Linked DNA regions of Coturnix japonica. The protein of the gene in region 2 purifies or fractionates together with the protein of the main gene of each other region. This does not show direct contact. Links are inferred from orthologs where the notes say so. Each region holds a gene or a part of one and is shown on either strand. Other genes may lie near its edges.

Region 1 (4,308 bases), on a different chromosome or scaffold from region 2:
GTAATTAGCAGCAACTAAGAAGCCTTCGTGTGCAGGAAGAAAAAAAGATATTTGTTTGGGAAGATACATAAGTAAACACCGATTGCAGTCAGCAACACTCCACTGTGCTTTGAGGCTTTGCATGTGTGGGATTCAGCGCTGCTGCAAGATGTCAGCAGCAGCCCTGGGCTGAAGTCCTGCACAGCCAGAGCCTGGGGCTGGCACAGGGACCAGCAGGTTGTCCTGCTGCATGAACACAGCTTGATCATTTGGAATGAGTTTGACAGGTATGGAGGGGAAAGCCAGCCCAGCCCCTCTACTGAACATCTCTACCAAGCACATCATGCAGCACAACTGCATCAGCTGCTGTTTGCATGCAGACCTCCGAGCACTCTGAGCAGCTCATCAGCACCCTAATTCCACGTGCAGTGAGCAGCTGCTGCACCACCATCCCAGCACCAGGCTGGAGATGTGACATATGCCACGGCCACACTAACAATGACATTTGTACACAGCAGGCCACAGTTCCTCCTCACGCCACTAGCACAATGAGGAGCCATGCTTATTCTGTTCTTCCATAGCTGCTGCTTGTGTTTTTCAACCCTACACAAAACAGTAACACGATGCATTACAGGCTCCCAGTGCTATTCTAGAAGGTTTAGGTTTTGCAGCATACACACATATATTCTGTGTAAGATGCCTCACGTTACCAGTCTCTAATCCAGGCAGCATTCAATGCTATCAAATGGAAAAGGACCTCCTCCCTTCGACATGATTTTAATTTCCAGCCTAATTATTTCCCTTATACGCTTTGCTATGGACAGCTTCACACAGCTCCTGCTCTGGGGACCCACCATTACTGCATTCCCTATAAGCCACCATAGCACACTGCTGGAGAGACTGACGGGTCACTGAGGCCACAGGTCCTGCCAGGAATCATCCACAAAATGGAAACCAGGAGCACAATTTCATTCCCTTGCCCTCCAGCAGGCAGACACTCCCCAGCTCCCATTGATCCCAGTGGAGATGACCATGACCCCATTATGTTTTCTCAGCCTCAAAGAAAGGGGCAGCACACCCCAACCACCATCCCTCAACAAACCCTCCTGCAGTCCTGCAGCCATCCAGCACACTGCAGCACTGCCTGCACAGATCCTCTAAAAAGGATTTACGAGGTCAGGCTGCCAGTACTTAGAAAGCATGAAAACAGCAGAGCCAACAGGTGAACCCGCTGTGCTTACATGCTCCAGGAGACCCCTCCTCCCCTTCAGTAAGCTGTGGGGCTGCAAATCTTCCCCTTCATGGGTAGGAATTTGTACTTTTGTCTGGGTTAGTGAACAAAAAGGTGGATCCCGGTGACATGAGGCTCAGTGAAACGCATTCATGCAATGTCCTTCCCTGCAGGACTCCCAGGATCTCTGGGGGATATTGCATAGACTGAAGGATCAGAAAGGATCCCAAATGTTGGATGTGTTTCTGTATCTTAAACAAATCTTGCTCCTGCTGTATCTGGCTCAGAGAAAGCACAATCCTGTGCCTTCAGCCCATGTATGCAGCACTGCTCGAGGCACAGGAACAGAATTTGGGGGGCTTGCAGGTAAACAAACAACTCGTACACACTGCAGACCTCCCTCACAAGCTGTTCTGTATTGTATGTTTAAACAGAAAGAGGAGAATGGTGGGAGAACAGCATCCCACAGCCATTGTCATCAATACAGCTTTCTGATAAAGAAAAGCCCACGCAAGCATTGAGCAGGTATCACAGCAGCTGCTGCTTTCAGGCAAGGCAACAGCAAGCTGCTTACAGCATCACAAAATACCTTGATAGCTAAACCTGCGTATGGCTGAATGCAATTAATTAAGGAGGTCAGCACAGCTGAGGAACAACCCCTCCCCAGGTGTTGTGTGTCGGAGCGGATCACGGCGCTGCCATTGACTCAAGTTGCAGATGATGAATGCGAAGGTCACATGAAGGGAAGGCAGCGGTGCATCGCCTGCCACAAAATGGTAGCAGCGGGGATGCGGGCACGTCCTTCCCGCAGCTCCAGACGCGGCACCCAACGCGGATCACACCGACCCTCAGCCTCACGCACACCCGAGGGGGCACCTGACCGGGGGTGGGGGGATGATTCGGGGCCGTTCCGCTCCGTTATGTAACGGGGGCTCCCTCCAGCCCCGAGCTGCGGCAATGCCGGGGGCTCCGCCGCGGATCCCTCCCCCTGCTCGCCCCGCAGCGCCCCGCACTGCGCGCACCCCGCGGCTCTCGCAATGCACCGCACCGCCCGTGCGCCCAACGGCTCCGCCGCGTGCAGCCGGCAGCTCCGTGCCCTACACCGCACTATACACACACACATCGCTCTCCGTGCCCTACACCGCACTATACACACACACATCGCATCGCTCAAGCACCCGGCGGCTTCTCCCGTGCCGCCCCTCCCGCACACCCCGCGGCTGTGCCGCACGCACCGCCCGCAGCTCCGCTCACAGCCCGCAGCTCTCCCCGCTCCGTTACCTGCCGACGAAATTCTCCAGCACCGAGCTCTTGCCGGCGCTCTGCCCTCCGACCACAGCGATCTGCGGCAGGTCGAGGTTCGCGTTCTGCCCGATGGCGGCGAAGGCGTCCTGCAGCCGGTTGACCAGCGGGATCAGATCTTCCATCCCGCGGTTCCCCATGGTGGCGGCGTGGCTCCTCTCTCCCTCTGACCGCCCGCTTCAGCTCTAACAGCGCCGGGTACCGACCCTCCCCGCCCGGCCGCAGGGCTCCAGCCCGCTCCGCTCCGCTCGACGCCGCCCGGGCTCAGCTCAGCTCTGCTCCGTGCGAGCCGCCGCAGTGGGGCGCTTTAAAGCTGCAGACGCTGCTCTGCACGATGGGAGTTGTAGTTTGTGAGGGGCTGCATCACAGAACTCACAGCGGGGGGATGGAGCACCGAAACCTGCGATAGATTCCAAGCTGTGCAATTCGTGTTAATGTTTTAATTGTTATCTTAATGTGTTTTAATGCAGAAGTTGATGCTGCCCCTTTGTAGAGGTCAAAGCAAAGACCAAAAGGCATCAGGCATTTAAAGAGCGATGTCACCTTCCTCTATGGGTCAGAGCTGGTGTTTAGGGCACTCCATACCACACGGATCTTTAAAGCATTATACAAAGAACCATGAGAAGGAAATTGCTTTGTTCCTAGAAGTTGGCATAACCTGAAGTTTAAGCACATGGTTCAGTTTACTGCTGGTAAACTACCTGACTACACCACTGCAACAGTATCCTGTAATACAATAGCTATGCTAATGAGCCTTGATGACTAATTAGCGTCATCTGAAGCTTCTGTGCTCCTAGGTGCTCTATTTAAAGTCAGACCAGTATTGACTTCCAACTCAGTCATATCCCTGTATGCCTATAGAGCTACATGATTCTCCTCCAACATAGATGCTGTTATCTTAGTATTAGTTATATTTCATTGTTAACCTGTTTGCTTAGAAATCAACGGTCCTATTGCTAGTTTTCCTACTGATCTTACACCTGCCCTATCACTGCTGCTTGCTTTGATTGGGCCTCTGTTGGATGCAGTGGCACCAGGAGCTGGTTGGTAAGGCTGCCTTGTCAGCTCTGAGATTCACCTGCTAGATCCTTCTTCGCTTTTGGAGAACCCTGTTGTACAGTGACAGCAATGAAAAGATGGTAGTAAATACCCAAAAGGTTACTTACAGGAAAAACTCACCCATATGGAAGCCTTCAGTCTGCTGGGAACTGCTGAGGCAACCTCCACCAAGCAGCAGCCTCCAAGAGATGCTGCCTTAGTGGTGGTCAGCCCTTAAATGAGGTCTGGAGGAGGTGGAGTCGAGCTCCATCCCATCCGGGAGCACAGCTCCATTACTGCCACCTGTGCTCCCAGAGCTGACCCCACACTCACCTCAGCTGATTAATCAGAGGTTCAGGCTGTGATTACCAATTTCCCATCCACCTGTTCTTGCTGCCTGCTGACATCAATGCTTATTGCCTCATTAATGCTTATAGGGACTTGACTTTTTTCCTTCCCTTGCACTCATCCCTATGAATCCACACCTGCCTCTAATGCTCCTATTACATTAATGATGTGTGATTGTGACCACTGCAGCTTTTGTGATGCAGTGATATTGCTGGATTTTGCACAGATCTCTTAGCAGAGAGATCAGTGTTATCAATATCATGATAATATTATCAATGTTATTATATATCTCAGTATTAGTGGAACTCTTACAGAGGTTTAAAGAATAAGTTCTTGCATCCTCAGCTTTGCAGTTGCACTCTGGGAGAAATAAGAGTACAGTGTGCGCCTGCAGTGTTACTCCTACAAGA
Region 2 (3,508 bases):
AACAACTGACTTTCACAGGCTTTGAAAATTTTAGTCAAGCCGAATGGGCATCAGACTGGAGCACAGTGCTATACACACAAAATATGCTTTCCAGAACAAGTGTGAAATCAAGCAATAGGAGGAATAGCTGCACCATTTTACTTATAGGCAAAGAACAGCTTATAGGAGGATGCTCCCTTTCCTCTGAGAGCTTTACTGCAAAGGTCCTACAACACAGCACTTTCACAATCAAATGCAAAGAAAAGTAAAACAAAAATCTCAAAACAATTCCTCCGGATAGTCAAATAGAGAACATAACTAGTTAATTATTTTCTCCAACAGCAAATATTTTCTGTAATAATAGGGAAATAACAGTAAATAAACAAACAAACAAAATCTATTTTATCTTGGCTTTAAATCAGTGGCCTAGAGAAATAAACTGGAGATATGAAATGATGCTTTTAGTAGTGGTGTTTTGTTAGCAACAGATAGTTAGTTTACCATAAATACTGAACAATGAAAAGTGTTTTTTTTAATCTTTTTTAAAGAAAATGGGAGGTGCTGGAGTCACTATCTGTGGAGGTGTGCAAGAAATGCTTAGATGCTGTGCTGAGTGACATGGTTTAGTGGGAAATGTTGGTGAAAGTGGACAGTTGGACTGGACGATCTTGGAGGTCTTTTCCAACTTTGGTGATTCTAAGATTCCCATAAATCCACAAACAAGTAATAAACATTTACCTGTTACTTGCTTGTCTGGAAGAGATGGGATTGGAATGGCTAATCCAAATTTAACCAGGAGACGTTCGTACAACCAGTCAAAGTGCTTGTATCTGTGGTTGACAGATCGATTAGTGTTCTGTAAGAGAAACACAACTCTGAATTCTGACAGGCAACTACAGATAGCAACATGAAACAAGTGTGACCAGTAAATATGTGGAACGTGAAATAAAACTTACAATGTAGAGCCTTGAATCTACAGTTACAGAACTAAAACCGCTAGGAAATAAAGTTACTCTTTGGGGAAAACTGGTGTCAACCATCATTTACAACTCAGTTACCAACTTGAACAAACTTATTTGTCTGTACTAATGACCCACATTTGTGAAAGAGCCTGTTTCAGATACACTTACAGTGCAGGTCAGCTGATACTCAATGTAGCTCTTGAGACCGTACATTTTTGAACCTTTTTTGGGATCTGCTACCACACAATCAAACGTAGAGGTAGGATAAACCCACATTGGGCCATAATCACCAATCTGTAAGAAATTGCAAATATTACTGTTTTTAATTGAATACATGACATCGTACCAGCTGCAAACAAGGAAACAAATACATTCCATATATCAACAAAGAATATTTCCAAAACAGTTTCTAACTCTTCATTTAAAAATTAGCCTAAGAATCAGGAAACACAGGGGTTTCCTGCAGCTAGAGATCATTTACCACAGTTGTATTTAAGTATTTTTATATATACATATTTTTTTTTTCCAAATAATTAAGGAGCATTGTAGGTATTACGACCTCGACCACATTTCACTATAATAGTATAGATCTAGAACAGTCAGTTTGTTAGATCAGCAGATGAACTCATCATCATGACTGAATATAGGAAACCTTCATGAATGTACTTCACATGAGGCAACTATCTAGAAAGCTGAGACAGGGTAATGCATTTTCTGCCCTCTCCATATCAACAAGGCTTGTTTTTCACATTCATAAATAATGCAGGTAAGAAAAATGCTATTAAAAATAATTTTGAAAACATTAGTACACTTAGAAGAGTTAAGACTCTGAGTCTGAAATAACCTTCAGTGATAAAGGACTCTGAAATGTGGTCTATTGTGACTTTAAGTGGTGTACAGTTTCACAATGACAGTGACATTTCTAATTATGTATTAAGCACTGATTTTGTCTAACCCAGATACATTTAACAACCCTGAGGCTAAAAGTTAACCTGGGTAAGAAGGGAAGTGGAAAGAATCTAAAAAATGAAACAAAACAAAAAACCAACACCTAAAACAAGTCAGAAATCAGCTACCACCCTGCTAGAAATAGAAATAACCAAACAAAAATACAGCCAACCCACTAAACAAAAGTCACACGCACTTATCCACCTCCGACTTACGATAATGGGAATCTTCTCTTTTGGTTTTGCTAGCTGCTTTGCCAATAAATACTGTTCCATTCCAGGTTTTGCAAATCCAGGAAATCTAACCAAAACAAAGCGATAAGTTTACTTTGCATCCTATTTCAATATGTGCAGAATACACCACCACTAAGAAAAACACTTAGCATTTCTCAAAAACAGAAAAAAATTGTGACAGGTTACCAACTGTTCACCCAGAAGGAGAGAAGTTTGAGCTGCTAATCTCCATCTTTTGTCTGTGTAATACAGGCCCCTTCTTGCATGACATGTAGTTAGTTGTGATCTGCAGTCCACCAGAGCAAATGTAATAGTAGGGCATGCACTAACATTTGCCATGCCATTCATTGCAGCCCATACTTTGCAGATGCATACATGCAATTACACACATGCACACCTTGCTGTTTCAGACAATGAGAATTCAATCATCTGAAATAACAATGGAGTGCAGATTTAAAAAGTACTTCTAAGCATGAGTTGAAATAATTTGTCCACTAATTAGAAAAAAAATGCATAAAAATCACTGTAGCATCCTTAAAGCCTGTGCAAGGGCTTTATGAGTAGCAAACAGTGGTTCTCTTTTTAATTAAGAAGATACTTAGCTCTTGAAGTATCAATAATCTACTATTTGCTTGAAGATACACTGCAAGTTTGACATACTTTTCAGACAAATGCTTTTAAATTATTTTTATGCTGGTCATACTGAATAGATTTGCAACTAGTAGATGCCACACTGCAGCATAACTGAACAAAATGTCCACTGATGAACAAAATCAACCATCTGTGAATGACTAGTCACTATGAACTTAACCAACAGTACGTCCAGAAATACAGAGCTTGTAAAAGCATTATTTGTTTGCATAATGTCTCCAAAAATAGTTTTGTGATGTACTTCCAGATTTTCTTGAATCTACATTATCTAATCACATAGACCCAATACTTAATCCACATATATTTTTACCCCCCAAAATATTATTTACACTGCATATCTCAAGAAGGTTTAACAGCAACACATCTATGCTACTTGAAAAATTCCAGTTCTCATCAATATAGACACATCTGTTCTGTATTTTCCATTACTTGTTAAGTGGTAGCTTCATAGCAGCTGCACGAGAGTTTCCACGTTGGGACCCCCCAGCCTCTGAAGACTCAGTTTCCTTGTAACCAAGGTAAGATGGTGAAGACGATTTTGGGTCATCCCAGTCATCATCCCAATCATCGTCATCAGCAGCTGCTGAAGTGGAAAGGAAGGGTTAAGACAGTTACACACTTTCTGTTTAGAAAGCAGAAGCACACTCCTCAGCACTCATACACGAATAATCAACAAGGTAAATATAGTGAAGAGCTATAGCTGGATCTTGTATTTTTTTATTCTTCTTCAGTCAT
Region 3 (4,304 bases), on a different chromosome or scaffold from region 2:
ACTGCTGGCAAAGTCAACAAGATAAGTTACACAAATATTAAGAAGAAACTGTAACAGATAAAAACAAATATCAAAAAATGGGAAGAAAGCACTCACAGTTTTTGACATTGATAACTGTGAGTTAATTTCATTTGTAATGTCAACTGTGCTAGCAAGTCCCATGGCTAGACCTGTATCGGATCATAGCAGCTCCAAATATCACATTAACTAAGGTACAGATTGAGACACAGGCAAGAGAGCACTAGCTCACACAGCCGGTTCAGCACAAACTATGGCCTGATTTCTAAGCACTTAACTTGCAGGATACAGGGTCAGCCAGGTGCCTCACAAAGAGGCAATGCCACAGCTAAGGAGTGCATCAGGCATACAAACAATTACAGATACCAAAGGTAGGGTAGGGAATGCATCTCCAATCCCACTTCAGAACTCCCACTTCTAACCTTCAGCCTTGCTGTAGGAGGGAACATGTTGCCGGCTCAGCCCACTCTACCCTATCTGGGCCAGAGCACCCTACGGGGAGACAACAACCCACCTGTGAGCCCTGTAAGGCTGCAGGCAATGCATTACAACCTCACACTGGGCACCAATTTTCAACAAAAATTGATCCATTCAAAAGAAGTACATCCACAGTACTCAAGCTTTCCACAAGATTCAAGAATCACAGAATCACAGAATGACCCGGGTTGGAAGGGACCTCAAGGGTCATGTAGTTCCAACCCCCCTGCCTGGCAGGGCCACCAAACATACACATTTACTAGATCAGGTTGCCCAGAAGAAGCCTAGGAACTCTTGGCAACCTGGTGCTCAGGCCTTTGTACTGAAGAATACAAACCAAAGTATATTTTTAGACCCTGTCTGTAGGTTTAAAGGATCTTTTCTGCACTTCCTGTTTTAGAGCCCTCCTTCGACTCTGACTTGAAAAAACACAAGCATTTGATGCATTTAGCACTGAAAGCACATAAAAATGACTATGCAATACAAGACATCTTGCTCAAAACATTGACTGACTTTATTATGAGATGATCTAACACACAATGTATGGTGATAGGTTAAAAACACAGGTGCAACATAGATTTAAAAACAAAAAAAAAACCCATCTAAGTCATAATACAAAGTGAGATAAACAAACTAAGATGATGCACCATTTAAGAATACAGCACTTTGTAATAAGTGCACCACAGATTTTGCTTTTTAATGAGTCATTGTGTACTCAAAGGCAGACGATTGCTCAGAACCAAAGATAAGCAGACGCTGGCAGATATTGGAAGAATATTTTGTATACATGGCAATACATATTCATGATGAAAATCTAATTAAATGTGTAAAATTCTCTTTCCAACAGATAAAGATACGAAACATTTCTTCCATTTAAATCAAAAGGATCTCCATTAGCAAATAAAAACCAGAATTGCTGCTTCTTCCTTATCTGTCATAAATAAAAACAGCTTCCACAACGTCAAGGTTGCCAGTTTTTTCATTGTATTTATCAAAACATAGTGACTTACAGAGGACAGCCACGGCTCCAGATTCAAACATGAGACATTCTTCTCTGTTTCTGGCTTCCACTATCACGCTGAACGGGAGCGGATCCAGCTTGTGATAGACACGATATCCTTTACTGAAAGCCATTTTGCCTTTATCGCTGGCAGTCCTGTCCAACACAAGATGATGTTAGTGAGAGCTTCCTGTGCTTCCAGATACCTTCTGCAGAACAGGTCTGACTTCCATTCTTTCCTAAGAATTTTACAGATCTAACAACAAAAAAGAGAAAAAGAAGAAAAGAGATGCTCACTCTTTCTAGTTCATGAGATTTACTTTATGTTTCAAAACAAATATATCTAAAGATAGCTTAAAGACAACATGCCAGCATTGCAAAAACATAATTGCCCAGAGCAGCACAAAGGATTTATTTAAGATCTCCTCCAGAACAACCAGAATTTCTTTTGCAATACCTAAACCAGACTCAGAGAAACTGGAGATGAGGTTCTCCTTTAGTCGCCACAAACACATTAGAGCAGCAGCAACCTTCTGCTGAACACAGAGGGCCAGGAGCTTCAGTTTTACGATGCCTTTTGCTCATGCTGACCTTGTATAAAAGGACACTACATTTCAAACAGTAAAGCTGCTAAGAGGCTTTGGAATAACATACAGAGACGATAACCTACTGCTTGGTTTCTCTTTATAAACGAACGCGGAGCTCCGTCTGGACTTAAGCCCTCCCTCGCAGCGGCTGACGATTAGAAAATCGCAGCACCGCACGAGAGAGACCGCTGACAAGCCATAAAGGTAACACCTTCCTTCGGAGCAATGAAAAAAAGCAATACCAAACCACAAAACACCAGCAGCCCACCGATATATCAGGGGCTGAAGGAATGCACAGAGCATAGAGGAGCGGCTAGAAAGCAGCGAACATGCTCCATTCCCGCAGCCCCACGCCGGTAACCTGAGGGCTGACAGCGGCACCGACCTTCCGCCCCCTCATACGACACAGGCAGGAGCGGCCGGCCAAGGAGCCGGCACCGGTCGAGCAGCCCCCGCCCCTCCACCTGCCCGGCGCCCGCGGCGCTGACAGAGCCTCCATCTTGTCTGGCGCCCGCGGCGCCCCCGCAGCCCGACACCCGCCACGGCGACAGCCGAGCGGGCTCCTCCCGTACCGACAGCCGCCCGCGGTGCCGCCGACCCGCCCCAATACCGGCCCCGCAGCTCCTCACCGGCCGCCACAGCTGCCGCCCGCTGCGCTCCCTGCCGCGGGAGCCGGCGGCACCTCACTTCCGCTCCGGCCCCTCCGTCCCTTCCGCATTGCGCCGCCCGCCACCGGAAGGCACGGGGAGGCGGCGGAGCCATGGTGGATGTTATGGCCGTGCTACCTTGGGGCGGTGAGGAGGGGGATGTGTGTCAGGACGGGGCTGGAGCCGAGCCCTTAGGGACAAGTATCCAGCAGGTTGAAGGAGGTGATCCTCCCCCTCTCCTCCCCCTCTGCTCTGCCTCATCTGGAATATTGTGTCCAGTTCTGGGCTCCCCAGTACAAAAAAGACAGGGATCTCTTGGAAAGAGTCCAGCGGAGGGCCACTAAGATGGTGAAGGGCCTGGAGCATCTCCCCTATGAGGAGAGACTTAGGGAACTGGGTCTGTTTAGCCTTGAGAAAAGAAGGCTGAGAGGGGACTTGATCCAGGTTTATAAATACCTGAGGTGTGGGAGCCATAGTGGCGAGGCTGGTCTCTTTTCAGTAGTGCGTGGGGACAGGACTAGGGGTAATGGGATGAAAGTACAGCATAGGAAGTTCCGCACGAATGTGCGGAAGAACTTCTTTACAGTGAGGGTGACGGAGCACTGGAACAGGCTGCCCAGGGAGGTGGTGGAGTCTCCTTCTCTGGAGATATTCAAGACCCGCCTGGACGCCTACCTGTGTGACGTGGTGTAGGGAGCCTGCTTTGGCAGGGGGGTTGGACTCGATGATCTCTAGAGGTCCCTTCCAACCCCTACAATTCTGTGATTCTGTGAAGTAGTACCCCTGCCCATTAAGCTGACTCTCTTGAAGGTAGGGAGGTCTTACAGAGAGACCTTGACAAATGGGAGGGCTGGGCAGTCACTGACTGCGTGGAGCTGAACAAGAGGAAATGCCAGAGGTACTTGGCAAGGTGTCACTAAAATCTTAAGGCAGAAAATAAGACAGTGCTCGAGAGCTTTGTTGAAATTTAGGCTATGAAAAGATGGGTTTACATATGTATGAAAAATATCACACTGAGTCTTGGAGATACATCTGTTATATGATACATTTCTGTTATGAAAACAGAATCACAGAATTACAGAATTATCAAGGTTGGAAAAGACCTAGAAGATCATATAGTTCAACCATTACCAATACTTCCCGGCTAAACCATATTCATCAACACAACATCCACATGTTTATTGAACACTCCCATGGTCGGTGACTCCACCACCTCCCTGGGCAGTGCATTCCAATGCCTGACTACCTTAGACATTTAAATATGTGCATGAAGCACAAAAGTGGAGTCAATGGGACAGGTCACATATATGAAGAAAAACAAACTTACCTCATGGTTTGGAGCAGAGACTTAAGTGGTCGGCTCTTGGATTATTAAGTGTGTTTATTGTTGTAGGCGTTAGTGAGGACTCTGTCTGCGATGAGGCAGGAACCCCCTTGTAAACAAACCTCCCTTTTATCACAATTCAGAATGTCCCCCAATTTTACATGCAATGTTATACATCTTCCCTGTTTCTAAACGATGCTAACTACCTAAAGAGGTTACTACATCTCAAGAGTTCCCATAGAATTTTGAGT

Evidence for each region.
Region 1: the proteins of SNX9 (region 2) and DNM1 purify together in Homo sapiens (co-immunoprecipitation; 6 studies listed by BioGRID and IntAct, counting the BioPlex papers as one, with this or other methods). This does not show direct contact. The link is inferred for Coturnix japonica from reciprocal best matches to the Homo sapiens genes SNX9 and DNM1.
Region 3: the proteins of SNX9 (region 2) and SYNJ1 purify together in Homo sapiens (co-immunoprecipitation; 3 studies listed by BioGRID and IntAct, counting the BioPlex papers as one, with this or other methods). This does not show direct contact. The link is inferred for Coturnix japonica from reciprocal best matches to the Homo sapiens genes SNX9 and SYNJ1.

The regions. Positions count from the first base shown.
Region 1 is NC_029532.1:3,809,461-3,813,768, forward strand, and holds the start of DNM1 (dynamin-1), read right to left. Parts: upstream 2,806-4,308; 5' UTR 2,653-2,805; coding exon 2,492-2,652; intron 1-2,491. UniProt on the Homo sapiens protein: Catalyzes the hydrolysis of GTP and utilizes this energy to mediate vesicle scission and participates in many forms of endocytosis, such as clathrin-mediated endocytosis or synaptic vesicle endocytosis as well as rapid endocytosis (RE).
Region 2 is NC_029518.1:46,790,619-46,794,126, reverse strand, and holds part of SNX9 (sorting nexin-9), read right to left. Parts: intron 3,357-3,508; coding exon 3,203-3,356; intron 2,190-3,202; coding exon 2,105-2,189; intron 1,236-2,104; coding exon 1,110-1,235; intron 836-1,109; coding exon 718-835; intron 1-717. UniProt on the Homo sapiens protein: Involved in endocytosis and intracellular vesicle trafficking, both during interphase and at the end of mitosis. Required for efficient progress through mitosis and cytokinesis. Required for normal formation of the cleavage furrow at the end of mitosis.
Region 3 is NC_029516.1:94,512,714-94,517,017, forward strand, and holds the start of SYNJ1 (synaptojanin-1), read right to left. Parts: upstream 2,806-4,304; 5' UTR 2,801-2,805; coding exon 2,712-2,800; intron 1,652-2,711; coding exon 1,506-1,651; intron 1-1,505. UniProt on the Homo sapiens protein: Phosphatase that acts on various phosphoinositides, including phosphatidylinositol 4-phosphate, phosphatidylinositol (4,5)-bisphosphate and phosphatidylinositol (3,4,5)-trisphosphate. Has a role in clathrin-mediated endocytosis.